Linked DNA regions of Macaca fascicularis. The main gene of each other region encodes a partner of the protein of the gene in region 2 in a complex. Links are inferred from orthologs where the notes say so. Each region holds a gene or a part of one and is shown on either strand. Other genes may lie near its edges.

What was found.
Region 1: SNRPD2 (region 2) and STRAP share a complex: the UniProt entries of both Homo sapiens proteins name them as parts of the SMN-Sm complex. The link is inferred for Macaca fascicularis from reciprocal best matches to the Homo sapiens genes SNRPD2 and STRAP.
Region 3: SNRPD2 (region 2) and RBM48 share a complex: the UniProt entries of both Homo sapiens proteins name them as parts of the minor spliceosome. The link is inferred for Macaca fascicularis from reciprocal best matches to the Homo sapiens genes SNRPD2 and RBM48.

The regions. Positions count from the first base shown.
Region 1 is NC_088385.1:18,695,966-18,702,954, forward strand, and holds the start of STRAP (serine-threonine kinase receptor-associated protein), read left to right. Parts: upstream 1-2,269; 5' UTR 2,270-2,589; coding exon 2,590-2,701; intron 2,702-3,421; coding exon 3,422-3,557; intron 3,558-6,989. UniProt on the Homo sapiens protein: The SMN complex catalyzes the assembly of small nuclear ribonucleoproteins (snRNPs), the building blocks of the spliceosome, and thereby plays an important role in the splicing of cellular pre-mRNAs.
Region 2 is NC_088393.1:53,755,487-53,762,481, forward strand, and holds the start of SNRPD2 (small nuclear ribonucleoprotein Sm D2), read right to left. Parts: upstream 3,680-6,995; 5' UTR 3,627-3,679; coding exon 3,625-3,626; exon of another isoform or gene 2,893-3,624; intron 490-2,892; coding exon 310-489; intron 1-309. Other genes in the region: QPCTL (glutaminyl-peptide cyclotransferase-like protein), read left to right, coding at 4,441-4,647, 5,149-5,292. UniProt on the Homo sapiens protein: Plays a role in pre-mRNA splicing as a core component of the spliceosomal U1, U2, U4 and U5 small nuclear ribonucleoproteins (snRNPs), the building blocks of the spliceosome.
Region 3 is NC_088377.1:128,834,708-128,841,803, reverse strand, and holds the start of RBM48 (RNA-binding protein 48), read left to right. Parts: upstream 1-2,376; 5' UTR 2,377-2,394; coding exon 2,395-2,505; exon of another isoform or gene 2,506-2,765; intron 2,766-3,058; coding exon 3,059-3,249; intron 3,250-6,001; coding exon 6,002-6,147; intron 6,148-7,096. Other genes in the region: peroxisomal ATPase PEX1, read right to left, coding at 1,887-2,015. UniProt on the Homo sapiens protein: As a component of the minor spliceosome, involved in the splicing of U12-type introns in pre-mRNAs.

The sequences.
Region 1 (6,989 bases), on a different chromosome or scaffold from region 2:
TCAAGTGATCCTCCTGCCTCAGTGTCCCGTGTAGCTGGGATCACAGGTGTGTACCACCATGCCAGGCTAATTTTTTAATTTTTTTGTAGAGTCTGAGTCTCATTCTCTTGCCCAGGTTGGTCTTGAATTCCTGGACTGGAGTGATCCTCCCATCTCAGCCTCCCAAAGTACTGGGAACTGGAATTACAGGCATGAGCCACCGCACCTTGCCTCTTTTCTTTATATATAACCTCTAAAACAATTTCTAATCACAGATTTACAACTTTCTTTGGAACATTTATGCATTTTTAAGTTTTCTGAACACCCAGTGCAATGCTGTATAGAAGAGGCAGTAGCAATCATCTGTCTTGTACCTAATACAGAATGCTTTCTGTGTTTCACCATTAGGTGTGGGGTTTCAGATAGTCTGTCAGGTTAAAAAATTCCCTTCTATTTTTAGTGTCTAAGAGTTCTTGTAAGTGAAAGGATGCTGAATTCTATCAAAAACTTTTTACACATCTTTTGATACGATTTTCTTCTTTAATCTTTTAATATTGTGAATTATATCAATTACATTAACCTGTCTTCTAATATTAAATTGACCTTGAAGCCTACACAATTGGTTATAATACACAATACTTTCAGAACTCAATCCAAATGAGCAGGAATACATTCTTTAGAGCCAAGTAGGTACCATAACTCACCAGTTATATTTTTATCTACACACAATCAGCAATAAATGAACATGTACCAGTATCTGACCAGTTGTGTCATTTTGACTGGCTCTTTTATTTACCTCCATCAGTAATGCAACAATCTATTTAATCAGTAAACAGTAATGCTGAGCATTCACTAAATGTCATTCACTTTTCTGGCACTAGAGTACAAATGACAAAGCCATAACCATTGCCATTAAGGAGCTCATAAATGTGTGAGTGGTGTGTATGTGTGAGACAAAAGGGAGAGGCTGACACAAAGGAGGAGTCAAACAAAATAAAATGAAAAACGTATATAGTAAGTGCTTTACTGTAAGTGAATGGACGAGAGTACTAAGGAAAAAGAATAGAGACATATTTCAAGTTTTCACGTTGTTTGACGCAAATCTTGTAGACGGTGTTTGCTGCAAAAAGATGAAGAAAACATTCACAGACATTTATGTTGATTACATATTTATTGGTATGTGCCAAGACGTTTTGATCTTGGGGATGAAGTAGTAAACACAAAAATCTCTGTTGTATAGGGCTTACATTCTAGCAATAAAGAACTTGCCCAGAGAAAAGGCCTCTCCTGGTTAGTAAACAGTATGAACAATTAACAGCTCTGGTTGTTTCACAGAGCCACACTGGGCTGCCTGCTGCAGACAATATCACAGTTTATATTTAAATATTCTTTTAATTTGTCCTTGTATGTAATTTGCAAATTATCACTCATATGTATACATATCAAAAGATGTGTAAAAGTTTTTGATAGAATTCAGCATTCATTCGCTTAAAAAATGAGTGCAGGCTCACTTTATTGATGAGAGTATTTAATCAAAAATATTGGGGATCTACAACTCTAGAGTTCTCCAAAGTCCACCAAGGAAAAAGTAATTTGAATTTAATCGCATTTAAAACTATATAGTATCCACGCCTAAAACATTAGCAACATAGGAAAACTCACACAGCAGAAGAGATGGCTGGGGAATTTTTTTTGGTTTTTGTTTTTTTGTTTTAAGACAGGGTCTCGCTCTGTCGTCCAGGCTGGAGTGCAGTGGCGCGACCACCGCTTACTGTGGCTGGCCTCGACTTCTCCGGCTCCAGTATCCTCCCACCTCAGCCTTCCAAATAGGTGGGACCACAGGCACCACCACGCCAAGCCCGTATATGGTTTTTAAGTAAGACAAATTGCAAAAAAACGTTACTAGACAGTGTTCGCAGGTTTGAGCCGTCACTGGGAATGGCTCGTGTCCGTCTAGATATTCAGAGGCCGAGCACAGTCCTCAGTAGGGCTGCTCGGCGGGTACACTGCTGCCGCTGGCCCCTGGGCTTACGGGAGTGGGAAGGGATTTCAACTCGGCCGCGGACCGGGAAGGCGTTCTGACCCGCTAGAGCTCGGGGCGAGGGACCCCATCCCGGTGCCTACAGCGCCTCCTTTAGCCGGCATGGGCCAGCGTTAGTTACCTCAGGGCACTGAACTGGCGCCTGCGTCTTTCTGCACTTCTCGCTCTTTCTTCAAGTCACTTATGCCCAGCGAGCCCGCCCTCCCGCCAGCCAATCGTCATTTCCGGCGGGTGCTCTGCGTCATTTACGTCGTCACTTCCTGCCGATACCGGTGTGGACGGTGTGAATCGTGGCTGGGCCGGTTCTCTGCTTCTCCCCATCCCCTACTTTCCTCCCTCCCTCCCTTTCCCTCCCTCGTCGACTGTTGCTTGCTGGTAGCAGACTCCCTGACCCCTCCCTCACCCCTTCCTAACCTCGGTGCCACCGGATTGCCCTTCTTTTCCTGTTGCCCAGCCCAGCCCTAGTGTCAGGGCGGGGGCCTGGAGGAGCCCGAGGCGCTGCAGCAGAAGAGAGAAAAGACAACGACGACCCTCAGCTCGCCAGTCCGGTCGCTGGGTTCGCCGCCGCCATGGCAATGAGACAGACGCCGCTCACCTGCTCTGGCCACACGCGTCCCGTGGTTGATTTGGCCTTCAGTGGCATCACGCCTTATGGGTATTTCTTAATCAGCGCTTGCAAAGGTGAGCAAGGCCTCAATCCTGGTCCCCGACGGCTGGGACTGGGCCGAAAGGGATTGGGACCCGCACTCTCCAGTGCTGAGCTGTGGTGTGGTGAGCGGGGAGGGGGCGATATTAACATCTGAGATGAGGGCCAACACTGGTCCAGTGGAGAAAGGAGTGTGTTAGGGAATCCGCAGCTGGAGCCGAGAGGCCTCCGGACGCTTATGTAGAAACTATTACCCCCAGCTAAGACCTCTCTCCTTATTTTATTTTTATTGCTATTTTTGAAGGAGCTGGACAGCACTTGCCTAGACTCTCGGGACAACACTGTAAATAGCTGTCAAGGATTTGGGGAAAGGAGAAATTAGGCCAGGCCGTGCGATACCTTACAAAGATGTTCGCTCTTGTCTCACTGGGTATTCCTTTGTGGTATTAGCCTCATTTTTCAAATGGGAAACAGATTTAGGCTACAATGTTTGTCCAAAATAAGACTAAAATCTAAGTTATTTCGACGCAGATCAGTATTCCCAGCAAATTACAGATGCTTTTCAGGGAAAATGATCTGTTCAGCTCTTCAGTTAATTATTACTGGACATTCCGTAGTGACTTCAATCGGTGGTGATAGTTAAATAGCTGAAACAATTTTTCCACTTCGTCATTGAACATCATTGTATATTTACATTTGAATCTTAGACTTTAATCCGAACTTATAAATTACATGTTTTAAAAAATATTTTCTAGATGGTAAACCTATGCTACGCCAGGGAGATACAGGAGACTGGATTGGAACATTTTTGGGTCATAAAGGTGCTGTTTGGGGTGCAACACTGAATAAGGATGCCACCAAAGCAGCTACAGCAGCTGCAGATTTCACAGCGTAAGTGTAGCCAAGATGGCTAACTTTGGTGTTCTCTGTAGATTGTGTCCTGAAATAATCAAAAACTTCAGTCTCAGATATTCATAAAATTCTGACTCGCTGGCTGCCATATAGAACGCATGATGTTTGATCTCACCAAAATTCCATCCTGGTCCATCGTGGTCCTGTGTGCTGCTTTTGTCTTCAGTGGTTCTCAAAATTTTTAGAGGCCTAAATGACTTACTCCTTATATTTTGATTGAGACTCAGGAATCTGCATTAACAAACGCTCCAGATAATGAATGTTGATCTCCTTTACGAATGCTGCTCTGTGTGTACTCCTTAGTGATAACCTACAGTGATGACCCTAGGTTTTTATTTCAATCCCAGTTTTTGTTAACTGGCTGTAGGCATCACTAAAACTCATTGTGTCAAAAACAAACAAAAAGACAAAACAACAACAAAGCAAAACTCAACTGCTCTTCATTTCCTAAGTTTTTAAAGGTTGAAATCTAAAGCATTCTTGATTTTCCCTTACATCGAGATTATCATCATCTGTTTTGATTGTGCCAGCAGGATGTCTCCTGACTACAATGTTCCTCCATGTAGTAACTGCCACTGCCTTAGTTGAGGATCATTTTTAACTTTCAGTAGTTTCTTTTCCTCCTATTCATATTCCATATTGCTGCCAGTTGTCTTCCTAAAAATGTATTTGATCATGTCACTTCTCTACCTAATGATCTTGCTGTCTTCCCTTTGCCATTTTAGTAGTTCATGACCTTTGACATACATTAGAATATCTGGAGAACTTTTCAAATATTCAAATGGTATGTGTCCCAGAAATTTGGATTTTTAAAACTTTTTTTTTTTTACTTTTTTACTCTCTATGCATATATATATTTACACTTTTTACTACATTGAAAAATTTTTAAAATACTTTTTAGTATATAGACAGTATCTAGCTATGTTGCCCAGGCTGTCTTAAACTGTTGGCCTCCATGCGTCAGCCTCTCAAAGAGCTGGGGTTTTGGGGATGAACTATTGTGCCTGGTACAGAAATTCTGGTTTGATTGGTCTTTAGGGATAGAGTACTGATCATACTGATCATTGGCGTTTTTTTTATTTTTCTTCCCTCCTTTTCTTTCCTGATATGCAGTCGTAGAATTGCTGACCTAAAGGACACATTTCAATTGTTGGCCCTTTACAGTTTGCTTCATCCTAGTTCATCAACATCATCCTCTCCCATTGCACACCATAAACCTACAATCTAATTATACTAATCTTATTGTTGTCAGAAATATACTTTACCTGTTCTGACTTTTGGCTGTTAATTATGTTATTAAACTGACCTACAGTGGCCCTCGTTGCCTTTTTGGGAATATATCATGTATTAAAAATCTTGTTTTCTCCAGTTCCTACTTGGTATTTGTAACTTAGGAATTTGACACTTCATTGTTTAAACTGATGAAGGCAATATCAAGAGCTATTGTGCATACACAAATTTATTAGATTTAAGAGGCTAGAGAGTACAAGTGGTGTTGATTTTTTTTTTTTTTTTAAAGACAGAGTCTTGCTCTGTCGCCCAGGCTGGAGTGCAGTGGCACAATTTCGGCTCACTGCAACTTCCACCTCTGAGGTTCAAGTGATTCTCCCACCTCAGCTTCCTGAGAGGCTGGGACTACAGGTGTGCGCCACCATGCCCGGCTAATTTTTGTGTTTTTAGTAGAGATGGGGTTTTGCCATGTTGGCCAGGCTGGTCTCGAACTCCTGACCTCAAGTGATTTTGGCCTCCCAAAGTGCTGGGATTACAGGTGTGAGCCACTGTGGCTGGCCTTTGATTTTTTTTTTTTTTTTAAACAACCTCACACTAAGGAGGAATTGTAAATGTGCTGCCTCCTTCCTTTTAAGTAAATTAAACATACCAATTTTAGAATGAGAAAATGAAGGCTGATTGATTGTGGTGGCGGATACGTGACTGTATGCTCTTGTTTGTTGAAACAGTGTTGTCTTTATGCTTTTTTAACATTTCAAGTCTCAATGTCTTGTGTTTACAACTGGTGTTAAGAGCATGAAGACTGGAGCCAGATGACTTGTATTTGAATTAGTGGCCTCATGCACTTTAACCATTTCTTTTCTGTCGTGGTACCTACCTCATAGGTTGGTTTTGAATATTAAATAAGTTAATATGTTTCAAATACTTAGAATATTGCCTGAAGTCCATTACATCTATGAAAGTGTTACATATGTAAAGTAACAATGATAGCTACCATGTAAACTATTACCACCCGCACTTGATCAAAATCACATATTATTTTGAAACTAATATGGCTAAAGCCTTGAAACCATTTGGCCTCATGTAAGGAAGGTTGAATGGATTTAAATGTCAAGTAGGAAGATTTTTGTGATTTTTTTTCCCCCCTCAGTTAAGGCTTTAGGTGCTGTGTTAGAGTGGAAAATGGTAACAAGCATTGGCACTAGGTGGGCTTGCATTCATGTGCAAACTATGTTGTGTATTTCCAGTTTGATCATCATAGGGTTATTATTATTATTGTTTTTTAATCAGGGTCTTAGGTGCCTAGGCTAGAGTGCAGTGGCGTGATCATAGCTCACTGCAGCCTCTACCTCCCAGTCTCAAGCAGTTCTCCAACCTCAGCTTCCTGAGTAGTGACACAGGCGTGTACTACCGTGCTTGGCTAATCTTTGTGTTTTTTGTAGAGATGGGTTTCTCCATGTTGTCCAGGTTGGTCTTGAACTCTTGGGCTCAAGCGATCTGCCCACCATGGCAGGATGTTTCTTAAACGTCAGTTTTCGTGTCTGTAAAATGGGACTAAGACCCATGAGATTATTGGAGGAACAGAGAGCTCTTTCTCTACCATATATCCCTGAAGTCCAATATGATCTCTGTCACATAGTAGGTGCTCAATAAATGCTACTTGAGATTTATCCCTCATTTCCTCTATGTCTTGTCTATGGGGTGTAGGAGTGTGTTTTCGTGTGGTGTGTGTGTGTGTGTGTGTGTTCTCTCCAAGAAGTTACTCCCCACAGCCTACCTGATTAGTCATAGTTGGTATAAAGCATTTTTAGAAAGATCTTTTTTTTCCCTCCATTCTTATGTTTCTTGGAAAACTCATTTCTGGTGTGGTCATCTAGAAGTGGATTTTGGTCCTGTTTCTAGTGGAGAAATTTGGCAGAATAGGTCTGTGGACTAGTGTAGAATGTTATCTTGGAGTAATTTGGGCAGTTGAGTCCAGTGTTGAGTACAGTGTCCCTACAACACCATCCTCTTTGTATCTGTTTGGGAAGAGTGCCAAACTAAAGATAATTCTGTGCTGTGCTCCCGAGAGTGCTTAAGTAGATCTGGGACTGGGCCCAGGAATTTATAGGTAATGAAAATGTATCACTCTTTCTTTCTTGTAAAGCCAATAGAAATACCTAATTTTAGTTTTAATAAGGT
Region 2 (6,995 bases):
CTGGGTTCAGGCAATTCTCGTGCCTCGGCCTCCTGAGCAGCTGTGAATACAGGTGTGCACCACCACGCCCGGTTTTTATATTTTTAATAGAGATGCCGTTTCACCATGTTAGCCAGGCTAGTCTCGAACTCCTGACCTCAGGTGATCCACCCGCCTTGGCCTCCCAAAGTGCTGGAATTACAGGCATGAGCCACCACCCTGGGCCATACACCCCAGGCGTCTGAGAAACCTGTCTTTGAGCTCTTCAGACTGGAGCTAGGGCAGCCTCTCTAGGCCTGCACAGAACACCTCCCAGGACCCAGCACTCACCTATCGAAGGCCTTCACACGGCCCAGGAGTTTCTTATTGTTGCGACAGTTGATGAGCACTTGGGTGTTGTTCTTGACTGACTGAGTGAGCACAGAGAGTGGACCCGTGTTAAATTCCTCCTCCTCTCGCTTCTGCAGCTCCTCTGGGGTCATCTCACTCTTGGGCTTGTTGAGGAGGCTCCTGCATGGACAAACATGGAACCCACAAGTGAGAGAGGCTGGAGCTGTGAGGATGGGTGGTCAGGGCCTCAGCCTCAATGTCTCCCCAGCCTTGTCCCATCACATCCATCCTGTTTGGCCTTCTGAGTATCACCAGCTGGATGCCTAACAGACATTTTCTTTTTCTTTTCTTTTCTTTTTTTTTGAGACAGAGTCTTGCTCTGTTGCCAGGCTAGAGTGCAGAGGCACGATCTCAGCTCACTGCAACCTCTGCCTCCTGGGTTCAAGCGATTCTCCTGCCTCAGCCTCCTGAGTAGCTGGGACTACAGGTGCGCGCCACCTCCACGCCCAGCTAATTTTTGTATTTTTAGTAGACAGTGGGTTTCACCACGTTGGCCAGGATGGTCTTGATTTCCTGACCTCGTGATCCACCCGCCTCGACCTCCCGAAGTGCTGAGATTACAGGTGTGAGCCACCGCGCTCAGCCAGACATTTTCAACTCTGCATGTCTCAGGTCGGGGTCCAGATCACCCAACCACCGAAGCCTACCCTATCCACAGTGTTCCCCATCTGCCTTCTAGTTCTCTGGGCAAAAACTCTTTGTCAACTTGATTCCTCTTTTTCCCTTGCATCCTACAATAAATCTGTAGGAAGTGGCCATTTCTTACCATGGCCTCAGCCTCTGTCATCTCTGACCTGGAATCTTTCCGGTCTCTCTGCCTCCACCCATGTTCCCTGACAGTCTGTTCTCCACAGAGTGGTCTGAGGGGGCTGTGCTAAAACCTAAATCATAACATGTCACTCTTCAAAGCCCTCCCAGGGGCTGGGTACGGTAGCTCATGCCTGTAATCCTAGCACTTTTGTGGTGCAGAGGTTGCGGTGAGCTGAGATCGCGCCACTGCACTCCACCCTGGCAACAGAGCAAGACTCCGTCTCAAAAAAAAAAAAAAAAAAAAAGAAAAGAAAAGAAAAGAAAATGTCTGTTAGGCATCCAGCTGGTGATGATTCACAAGGCGGGTGGATCACTTGACATCAGGAGTTCGAGACCAGCCTGGCCAACACGGTGAAAACCCATCTCTACTAAAAATACAAACAAAACAAAAACAACAACAAAAAATTAGCCAGGCGTGGTGGTGCACGCCTGTAATCTCAGCTACTTGGTAGGTTCTGGCAGAAGAATCGCTTGAGCTCAGGAGTCGGAGAGTGCAGTGAAGCGAGATCATGCCACTGCACTCCAGCCTGGGCGACAGAGCGAGACTCTGTCTCAAAAAATAAATAAATACAAATTAGAAAATACAAAAATTAGGCTGCGTGTGATGGCTCACGCCTGTAATCCCAGCACTTTGGGAGGCCAAGGGGGGTGGATCGCCTGAGCTCAGGAGTTCCAGACCACCCAGGGCAACATGGTGAAACCCTGTCTCTACTAAAAATACAAAAAAATTAACGAGGTGTGATGGCGCATGCCTCTAGTCCCAGCTACTTAGGAGGATGACGCAGGAGAATCGCTGGAGCCCCAGCAGCGAAGGTTGCAGTGAGCCAAGATTACACCACTGCACTCCAGCTTGGGTTACAGAGTAAGACTCCATCCCCCACCCCAAAAAAAAAAGTAGCTGGGCATGGTGGCGCATGCTTGTAATCCTAGCTACTTGGGAGGCTGAGGCAAGAAGATCACTTGAACCCAGGAGACAGAGATCGTGCTACTACACTCCAATCTGGGTGACAGAGCGAGATTCCATCTCAAACAAACAAAAGAAAATCCTCCCATGCCCCCCCGCCATCTCAGTGTAGAAAGTAAAACCCCGGCCAGGCATGGTGGCTCACGCCCGGCCAGGCACGGTGGCTCACGCCTGTAATGCCAGCACTTTGGAAGGTCGAGGCAGGTGGATCATTCGAGGTCAGGAGTTTGAGACCAGGTTGGCCAACATGGCGAAATCTGGTCTCTACTAAAAATATAAAAGTCAGCTGGGCATGGTGGTTGGTGCCTGTAATCCTAGCAACTCGGGAGGCTGAGGCAGGAGAATTGCTTCAACTCGGGAGGCAGAGGTTGCAGTGAGCTGAGATCGCACCATTGCACTCCAGCCTGAGCAACAGAGCAAGGCTATGTCTCGGGAAAAAAAAAAAAAAAAAAAGATTTTTTTTTTCCTTGGGAACAAAAGGTTTCATTCACTGATGTATCCTATGTGGCTTAAGCAGTGTCTGATACATAAACATTCAATGTAATATTTGGTGCACTAATAAATGAGCAAAATCATGCCAATCACTCGTTATCCCTTTAAGTTGTGAATTAGGTCGAAAACGCATCTGTCTCCAGCTCAAATGATCAGGAGAAGTCCCTTATTTCAAATCATTATTTCTAAAAGTCCTAACTTCCCTTCCCCAGTATTCGTTTTGATTTCTTTTGTTTCGTTTTGAGATGGAGTCTTACTCTTCGCTCAGGCTGGAAGTGTGCAGTGGTGCAATCTCGGCTCACTGCAACCTCCGTCTACCGGGTTCAAGCGATTCTCCGGCCTCAGCCTTCCAAGTAGCTGGAATTACAGGGGCCCGACACTACGTCTGGCTAATTTTTGTATTTTTGGTAGACACGGGGTTTCACCACAATGGCCAGGCTGGTCTCAAACTCCTGACCTCAGGTGATCTGCCCGCCTCGGCCTCCCAAAGTGCTGGGATTTACAAACCTGAGCCACCGCGCCCGGCCTCCCCCAGTATTCGTAAAATCGCTGCCCCTTAACATTCACTTCAATAGGACTAATTATCTAGGACCCCCCTCCGTTATCGTTTAAAATATGTTTTTCATAATTAAAAAAAATTTTTTTTGTAGAGACGGGGGTCTCGCTATGTTGCCTAGAGTAGTCTCGAAACTCCTGTGTTCTAGCGATGCTCCCGCCTTGGCCTACTAAAATGCTGGGATCACAGGCATGAGTCCCCGCGCCCAGCCCAGCGCGTTATCTGATAAAGCTGTCCCCTCTCCCGAAGTCACGATGCGTCAAAGGCCCCACGCCCGTTCTCAAACTCATCAGGAGAAACGCAGGACGCTCCATCCCTAAAACATCTGCCCCTGTCCCCCACCCCGCTCTCTGCTCAACCCTTCCCACCCTCAATCGGTCAAAATTTCCACCCTCAACCTCCTTCCCGCCGCCTAAGCCTAGCCCGGCCTCACATGATGGTCACTAAGCTCTCCGTTCACTCCCGTTTCCTCCGCGTTGCTGCAGCCTGAGGCGAGAGAGGCGGGACTTCCTCTTCCTGCGACCCACTTCCGTTGGCGCCTGCGCAAAGCCAACCAGTAAGTGGAGGCGTGGCCTGTTGCCATAGCATTGCCCACCAACGGTGCACAATGAAAGAATAAAAGCCTCGGATAGGGGTTCGAGGCCAGTCAGAACCACACGGGGCAGATGTTTATGACAATGAAGACAAAAGGAAAGGCGGTCTGATTCAAACCGTTTCGTTTAAGAATGGTACAGGTTTAAGGAGGGAAATGACAAACTATTTCCAAATGCCCGCCGGCCGTGACTTCGGGGGCGCGGCCTCCGCTGAAGCCAATCCGCTCCTCGCTTCGGAGACAGGCACCGCCCCTCTTCCCTCTGGGACGGGTTATTGACGTATCTACTGATCTTTCCGACCCTGCGCCACCAATCCCCTGCCTACATCCGGGAGGGGCATGGACCTGCGCCCGAGAGATTGAATATTTTCCACGATCAAACGCTGCTCATTGGCTTTCCCCCTCCGCTAAGGCGGAGCCTATCTCTTTTGCGCTCCCTTTTGGGTCGTGCCATTCTCAGAAGAACCAACCCCAATACCCAAGGGAGGCCGGGAGGCGTGTCCTCAGGACCGTAGCTCTTATTGGTTTCGCTGCTCGCTGTGGGGTGGGCAGGTGCAGCCGCTGCTGTTGCTTATTGGCCCACTGATTCCATGGGGTGGAACTTGGCTGGGCCTAAACTCAATCGTGGTCTGGTACAGGTTTCAGGGCATAGCTGCCATGCGTTCCGGGGGCCGCGGGCGGCCCCGCCTGCGGCTAGGGGAACGTGGCGTTATGGAGCCACTCTTGCCCCCGAAGCGCCGCCTGCTACCGCGGGTTCGGCTCTTGCCCCTGTTGCTGGCGCTGGCCGTGGGCTCGGCGTTCTACACCATTTGGAGCGGCTGGCACCGCAGGACTGAGGAGCTGCCGCTGGGCCGGGAGCTGCGGGTGAGGCTGGGCGGGGACCCGGGCACCGCGGGGACCCTCATTCCCTCCCCGCTGTTACCCAGGGTTGACTTGGCTTTAGCGTACGGCCCTAACCGCAGATGCCACAGTCTTCGTCATCTGAGCGCATGACCCTTACCAAAGGAATAAGGCTTCGGGCTGGTTTTACAACAGTAGCTTCCTTTTATGAGGAAAGGTCTGAAATAGTAAGACGAGGGGGTTCAGGGTTCTACGCCTTTAGTCAACTATTTGGAAGAGTCCCTTCCTCCATCTCCCCTCTCTCTCACTGGGCCTCGATTTCCCCATCAAGTTTGAGGTAGGCTGGACCGGATGGTCTTGGAAGGACTTTTTCTGAGCCTTGGATTTATCCTAGAAGTCTCCGATGCTGGAGGCCGCAAATTAGAAAGAGGACCCGGGGCTGCTTGTGGGTGACGGCGCCCGGGGTAGGGATGAAATGGTGGGTTGCTCTCATTCTTCCCTTCCCTATCCCACCTCCTTCCCAAGGTCCCGTTGATCGGAAGCCTTCCCGAAGCCCGGCTGCGGAGGGTGGTGGGACAACTGGACCCACAGCGTCTCTGGGGCACTTATCTGCGCCCCCTGCTGGTTGTGCGAACCCCAGGCAGCCCGGGAAATCTCCAAGTCAGAAAGGTAAAGGGACCCACCTCCAGTCCCTGACCCCCTAGCCCTCCAGGGAATGGGAAATAAGCATCCTGTTCAAGATCCCAAAGGAGCTAAGAGGAGGAACTGGGGCAATGACTGGAGTTAATCGGACTCTAGACTCCCATGCTGAAAACAAACCACCAGGCTGTACTGCCCCCCTTAATGCCCCCACCAAAAGCTTACTATGTGCTAGGCATAGGCAACAGACAGCCCTTTAAGGTGGGTACCAATATGATCTTCATTATGCAGATGGGGAAATTGAGGCTCAGAGAGGTTATACACATTGCACAAATCCTACAGATAATAAATAGTAGACCTTAGCCTGGTGCACTGGCTCATGCCTGTAATCCCAGCACTTTGGGAAGCCAAGGTGGGGGAATCATCTGAGAACTTCGAGACTAGCCTAGTCAACATAGTGAGACCCAATGTTTAGAAAATCATAGACCTAGAGTTGAACCCAAGCAGGTTGGCTCCAACCTGGTGCTGTAATGTGAGTCATTTAAAGGCCAGGCACAGCAGCTCACACCTGTAATCCTAGCACTTTGGGAGGTCAAGACAGGCAGATCACTTGAGGTCAGGAATTTGAGACCAGCCTGGCCAACATCGTGAAACCCCATCTCTACTAAAAATACAAAATTAGCCAGGCGTGGTGGTGGGTAACTGTAGTCGCAGCTACTTGGGAGGCTGAGGCACGAGAATCACTTGAACCCGGGAGGCGGAGGCTTCAGTGAGCTGAGATTGCTCCACTGCACCCCAGCGTGGGTGACAGAGCAAGACTCCATCTCAAAAAAAAAAAAAAAAAAAAGAGTCATTTAAATACTGCCTGAGTCCCAGTGCGACCTCATCCACTTAGATTGTGACCTTGGACTTGTTTCTTTTCTCTTTTCTTTTCTTTTTTTTTTTTTTGAGACGGAGTCTCACACTGTTGCTTGGGTTGGAGTGCAGTGGCGCAATCTCGGCTCACGGCAACCTCCACTTACCAGGTTCAAGTGATTCTCCTGCCTCAACCTCCTGAGTAGCTGGGATTACAGGTGCCCGCCACCACGTCTGGCTAATTTTTTTGTATTTTTAGTAGAGACGGGGTTTCACTATGTTGGCCAGGCTGGTGTTGAACGCCTGACCTCGTGATCCACCTGCCTCAGACCCCCAAAGTTCTGGGACTACAGGCGTGAGCCACCGCGCCCAGCCGGAACTAGTTTCTTAACCTCTCTGAGCCCATTTCCTCATCTGCAAAATGGGATCATGTATCGGCAGTCCCTCCCCTTTATGGTTCCGAGAAGAGAGCTTAGCACACAGTGAGAGCTATTTAAGGGTAAGCTATGCCGGGCGCGGTGGCTCACGCCTGTAATCCCAGCACTTTGGGAGGCCGAGGCGGGCGGATCACAAGGTCAGGAGATCGAGACCACGGTGAAACCCCGTTTCTACTAAAAATACAAAAAATTAGCCGGGCGCGGTGGCGGGCGCCTGTAGTCCCAGCTACTCAGGAGGCTGAGGCAGGAGAATGGCGTGAACCCGGGAGGCGGAGCTTGCAGTGAGCCGAGATTGCGCCACTGCACTCCAGCCTGGGCGACAGAGCGAGACTCTGTCTCAAAAAAAAAAAAAAAAAAAAAAAGGGTAAGCTGTGATGAGTCTTGTTGGCTTCAAGAGGCGGGGTCACCCCAACATCTGGCACCCAGTAGGTACTCACCAGG
Region 3 (7,096 bases), on a different chromosome or scaffold from region 2:
CCTAGACAACAAGAAATAAAAATGATGTTTTCTAAACAAAGATGTGTTATTTTCAACGTTTGATTAAAATATAGTTTATCACTTCTAATGCCTAAAAATTAAGTACAATCTAAATAGTCAATCATAGTGAACAGTTAAATAAATTATGGCAAATTTGTGCTAGAATACTAATTAACAACTTAAAATGATGACCTTTTAACAAAATAAAACACTCATAATAACATTAAGTAAAAACACTAGGACACAAAACTGTATGTGTGTATATAGGACTTCATTTCTGTTAAAAATGAAGATTAGAAACAAAACTGGAAGATTTGATCCAAACTGTCAACATTAGTCACCTCTAAGTTCTGGGATTACGGGTAATTTATTTTCCCGTTAACAATTTTCCATGCTTTCTAAATTTTCTACAAAACATAAATTATATAAATTTATATAATTCATCAAGAAATAAATGTATAGATTTATAGAATCTATAAAGTCATAAACTTATTACATTGATAATTAGAAAGCAAAGTTGACCTATTCTGCTAATATGGGCTGAACAGAAACAGCAATTTGTTCCAGGGCTAAAGACATTTACATTTCAAAAAGATATGCATGAATTAGTTCCTATAAGTACTTCTTGAAGGCTCAAAATTTAAAACAAGATCAAGACCACTAAATTCTTAAATAGTGACGAATATAAGGTAACATGAATTAATTCTTATAAATACTTCTCGAAGGCTCAAAATTTAAAACAAAGATCAAGACCACTAAATTCTTAAACAGTGATGAATGTAAGGTAACAACTACATCTTAGGATCAAATTAGAGTTACTGTAAGAAAGCATTCCTACTATCATGAGTGGATTTGAAAACATGTTGAAAAATCCCATCGAAGCTGACAGAGCACTGAACCAACTTCTACCTGGAACTTGGTGACAGTGACTGATTTGTCTCTAACCATAAAGCCCATCAAAAACCAAGATTGTCTACTTAGTAGTAAAAAATAATAACGACGATGATAGGAGGATTCTGCTGAACTCATGTTTTCAATGGACCAAAAAAATCTTCCCCTAGGTATGGAGAAGTAACTCAAGTGGAAAGAAGGGATGCTTGAAATTATTGCAAACTCTTTATTCATTACATAGATTAGCCACTGGTGGGTACCATGCATCCAGGATTTATGAAGATTTCAAATACGCCGTCCTTTTGCCCCCATAACCACACTCAAACTCGTGAGACCATGTGCCTCTATTTTTAATTACGAAAATAAGGACGCTGTATCTCCACCGGTGGTTAGAACTGCGAAACATCCCAACCACAACGTCCAGAAGGGCGACTGATCGCAGAGCTTCAAGTGATCTTAACTACGTTATGTGTTCCTGACACACTACAGCTGTGTTCCGAGGGTCTGGGACGCAGGACAGAACCATTACTATATTAAGCTTTCCCGCTCATGGGACGCGGTGCTCAGTCCCCGGGGACCGACAGGGGCTCCACCAACAACTCTGCGCCTCCCTCTCGCGGCCCGGACGGCAGCAGCGCAGGTAACTGGAAATGACTGGCAAGAAAAGCACCTTTTAAAATAACAAAAACAAACCACTTATCAGGAACTTTTCCAGCCTGGAATGAGGAATATTTATAAAAACAGTGGTAGAATATTAGGACATTTCTAGGCCCAGTTTCACCAAGTGAAAAGACCTGTGATAAGACGAGCCCAGGGCTGCACTGGACTTGCGGGATGCAGAGACTAACCAGAAGGGCCCTGCCGTCGAGGGACCCTAATCTCTGTACGCTTCGGGGGCGCCCGGGTGGCAGCCGGTGTCCCGCCGCGTCCCTGAGAGGCTTCGGCCTTGTCCGACCCCAGGCTGAAGATCAGGTGGCCCGGGGCCAGCACGTTACCTGCAGCAGGTGCAGCTGGGCCACGAGACCCCGTGGCAGGTGGAGGAAGCAGTCGCGAGCGTTGGTGAAGGCCACAGTCACTGCCGCCCCGCCTCCCCCAGCACCCGCCAGGCGATCGCTGCCCCACATCGTCCCGAAGCGTCGCTCTGGGTTTGCCCACCCTAGCGCCGCAAAGGACACGGGACCTGGCAGGCCGAGGACGTCGGAACCGGAGGAGATCGATCGGCCCCGCCCCCTGAGGCCCCGCCCCCTCTCCCCGCTGCGCGTCTCGCCGTAAGCCTGTAGTGGGGTGGGACAAGAAAGCTTCTGTCACCCACCGCGCCTCTCCGCCAAGCCGCTCGGGGGCGGCACCTCGTTCATCAAATCCTCGCACGCAGGAAACGATGGCCGACGCTGTCGATTCTTCAGCCAATGCTGACACTCCTTAACTCATCCCGCTCTCTTATTGGATAAAAGGGAGGTCAGCAGGGCGGATGTTGTCCTCCCTGCAAGGATCAAAGTAGGCAAGATGGCGTCCAGCGGTGGGGAGTTAGGGAGTTTATTTGACCACCACGTCCAGAGGGCGGTGTGCGACACGCGGGCCAAATATCGGGAGGGACGACGGCCTCGTGCTGTCAAGGTAAAGTGATTTTTGGTTTCATTCGCTCTCCTCGGTAGCTTTTTGTGAGCGCTAGCGCCATATGGCTAACCTACGGAAATAAAGGCACGACAAGGCTTCCGTCAGATCTGTCGCTCATTAGAGCTGGCGTGAAGAACCCTGGGCCAGGTACCAAAGATTCTCACGACCCTTTTGGTCAACTATTAGAACATCAACTCCACGAGAATAGGGCTTGGTTTTAGTCATTGGATCTTCAGTGTTTACAGTACTACTTGGCACAGGTAAGCGCTCAGTGAATATTCGTTGAGTGATTGTTCCCAGTGACTTCTGCCGACTCAATTTCTGGAAAAAAATGTCGACTGAAGGTAGTCTGTTATATGCCTTAGGTAGCCTCTCACATGGACTGTTACTCTTTATGCAGAGGGAATGGCAGAAATTTTATTTTGTGTTTTTTGCTGACTGGGTTGAACAGATTATTTCTTGTTTTCAAAGTTCTGTTTAAAAAAAAAAATAGAGGCAGATTCGTCCTAGGCTTATTTGCGAAATACGTTTAATAACTATGCATTTCTTTCAGGTATATACAATCAATTTGGAATCTCAGTACTTATTAATACAAGGAGTTCCTGCTGTGGGAGTCATGAAGGAATTAGTTGAGCGATTCGCTTTATATGGTGCAATTGAACAGTACAATGCGCTAGATGAATACCCAGCAGAAGACTTTACTGAAGTTTATCTTATTAAATTTATGAACTTACAAAGTGCAAGGTAAGGTGCAAGTTAAGCAATGACTCGTTTCATTTCCTCCATTCATATTTCTGTCATTTTGGCCCCAAGTTTCCCTCATTCATATCTGAATTACCCCAAAATGTAATCTAGCATATCTTCCTACAGCCTTTTTACAGGTTAACTTTACTGAAACACTGTATCCATCACATCCCATGCTTAACAATGTAATGTCCTGTAGCGTGGTAGAGTAAAAGTTGGGTTTGGCCAGGCACGGTGGCTTACGCCTGCAATCACAGCACTCTGGGAGGCCGAGGCAGGCGGATCACGAGGTGAGGAGTTTGAGACCAGCCTGGCCAACATGGTGAAACCCCGTCTCTACTAAAAATACAAAATTAGCCGGGTCTAGTGGTGCATACCTGTAATCCCAGCTACTCAGGAGGCTGAGGCAGGAGAATTGCTTGAACCCAGGAGGCAGAGGTTGCAGTGAGCCGAGATTGCGCCATTGCACTCCAGCCAGGGCAACAAGAGGGGATCTCCGCCTCAAAGAAAAAAAAAATGGGTTTGAGGGCTGGGCGCCAATAACTCACGCCTCACGCCTGTAATCAGAGTACTTTGGGAGACCGAGGCAGGCAGATCACTTGAGGTCAGGGGTTCAAGACCAGCCTGGCCAACATGATGGAAACCCCGGCTCTACTAAAAATACAAAAATTAGCCGGGTGTGGTGGTGCAGACCCATAGTCCCAGCTACTCAGGTGGCTGAGGCATGGGAATCGCTTGAACCCGGGAGGTGGAGATTGCAGTGAGCAGAAATCACACCACTGCACTCCAGCCTGGATGACAGAGCGAGGCTCCGTCTCAAAAAAAAAAAAAAAAAAAAAAAATTTGGGTTTGGCGCCAGGCATGTGGCTCACACCTGTAATCCCAGCAGTTTGGGAGGTGGAGGTAGGCGGATCACCTGAGGTCAGGAGTTCAAGACCAGTCTGGCCAACATGGTGAAACCCTGACTCTACTAAATACAAAAATTAGCTGTGTTGGTGCAAGCCTTTAATCCCAGCTCCTGGGGAGGCTGAGGCACAAGGATCACTTGAACCCAGAAAGTAGAGGTTGCAGTGAGCCAAGATCATGCCATTGCACTCCAGCCTGGAAAGAGTGAGACTGTCCCAGAAAAAAAGAAAAGAAAAGAAAAAAAAGTTGAATTCGATCCCAGCACTATGGAAGGCCAAGGTGGGCAGACAGCTTGAGCCCAGGAGTTCGAGACCCGACTGGCCAACATGGCAAAACCTCACCTCTGCTAAAAATACAAAAATCAAGGTGGGCGTGGTAGTGCATTCCTGTAGTCCCAGCTACTTGGGAGGCTGAGGTGGGAGAATCAGTTGAGCCCAGGAGGTGGAGGTTGCAGTGAGTCATTTATGGACCACTGCACTCCATCCTGGGTGATGGAGTGAGACTATGTCTCAAAAGAAAAAAAAATGTTGGGTTTGGAGTAAGTTTTCCATTTCCACTGCTTACTAGCTTTGTGATCTTGGACAAGTTATTTAACCTGTTTAAGTTTTTCCTGTTCCGTAAAATCTATATGGTAAAGGGACCTATCTACTTCTTGAGGTTGTATGAGGATGAAATGAGATAATCCATATAAAGGGTTTAGCAGAGTGCCTCCTGGTCAGAATACAGTAAGCATTAGCTATTGTGGTTTCTACTGTTACTCCTTTCTGCAAATTGACTCAGTGTTTTCCGGCCTTCTATGTGACATAAACCCTCTGCTCCAAAAAGGCTGAAGTATGCAATGCCTTATCTATTTTTATGTTGATCTCTGTTCTCCTCACTAATCTGCTCTGAGACCCATCCTTCTCTGGCTGTTACAATTCATATTTTCTTTCATGTGCTATCAGTAGAAATCATAATCTACCACAAAAGCACTTGATTTTACTGGGTCATGTGTGGTTTTCTCAGGCTGCTGTTATATGTAATCTCACTTTCTTAACCAATCTGCCAGCTGTCATGGTTAGAGAAATATTTTCTCGAGCTTTTCTGTTTTCCAAAGTACCTAGTCTAGTAGGCTCTGAAGTAAGACATCTGGATTTGAATCCTTGCTCCTCAAACCAGAGTATGAGCATGGCTAAGTTATGTAATGTCCCAGTGCTTCCGTTTCATTACAGGGTTGTTGTTAGGTGTTAATTCAAGTGAAGCACTTACAACATTGCCTGGCATATGGTAAAATCTGAGCAAGTATTTATCATTATCCCTGGATACAGAAGTAGTTATATTTATTGTAGTACCTGGCCAATCATAGATGTTTAGTAAGTATTTATTGACTGAATAACATTCTTCTCATTTTCTCATTGTTATATGTTTAATAGTTCCTCAGTTATTGAACGTTTTATGATTATAGTATTTTTCATCTGATTTTTAAGGCAAGAATCCCATTACAGAAATACATTGTGCTGAAAAAGCTTAATTGGGTATGAAGTAACTCTTCAGGGCCACAGAGAAAAGCTCTATTTTATGACCACAGTTTATATACTTCAGGCCAACCAGCTGGGTCCTTAGTTGTTTAAAGACTAGGAAACAAAGAGGCTCGAAGGGAAGAAAAGGGGAGGCTCTAAGTACATACTCGAACAATGGAATGAATACTGTCCACAAGCAGAGCATCTTAATTCCCAATCCACAGGATATATATACACATAGCAAAAGTTGGACTTTGCTCTTTAGATCCAGATATTGTATACTAGTTAAGCTTTCATCCCAAGTAAATCTAGATTAAAAAACCATGCTATCTTGTATTTCCATTCAGGACAGCCAAGAGAAAAATGGATGAACAGAGTTTCTTTGGTGGATTGCTTCATGTGTGCTATGCGCCAGAATTTGAAACAGTTGAAGAAACTAGAAAAAAACTACAAGTGCGTAAGGCATATGTAGTAAAAACTACTGAAAATAAAGGTATGGAAAGCATATTGCTAAATGCCTCCTGTATGTCAGGTACTCTGCCAGGTGTATCATCATGCAATTCCTAGTCTAGTGGGAGGAGAGGCAAGTAAAGCATCACAGTATTCAGTAACTGTAAGGGTTCTCTACAGCACACTACATAATCTGGGTTGAGAAGGGAGAAATGTTGGTTCATAGAAGACTTCCTACAGTATGTGAGAAGTGGCTGAAATTTGAAGGATAAGTAGACATTAACTAAAAGGGAGAGGAAAAGATGGAAAGGCAAGCCAGGCAGGATGTTTAAGTGTTTAGAGGAATAAATGAGCATCATGCATTTAAGGAAATTTAGTTAATACAGTATAACCAAAGCTCAAAGGTTTCAGTGAGAGATAAGTTTAGAAAAGTGGATAAGAAGTGAATCATGAAGGGCCTTGTGTCCCATGCTAAGGAATTAAGGCTTTGACCAGAATGCAGTGAGAAGCAGTTATGATTTGCAGACTAGTTGTCACTGCTAATCATGGAGAAGTTCTACTTTTGACCAGCAATTGACTAAATGCCCCCATATGCCCCTTCTACCAGATAGTGGTAGAGAGAAATAAAGTGGGAAAACTCTTGGAAAACTTACTCAGAAATCTGGCAAGAGAGCTGTTGAGAATCCCCAGTCATCTGTATCCATTGAAGTCTAACTTGTAAGATAAGTAAATAAATAGCACCAGGAAAACTTAATGTGTTTGTATGACAAAGGACATTATAAAACATTAATGTGGAGAAAGACCTTTGACATTATCTGACCTGTGTCCTAATTTTTCTTGGTGAGGAAACTAAGTCTCAGAAAGTTTGTGACCGGCCTATATTATTAGAGATGAATTAAGGACAAAAATAAGGATTAAAACCCAAGCTTTGGACTCTTTCTCCAGAGCTTACTTTTTAACTGCTTTAATTATCTCAGTGTTGGTGTGACAGC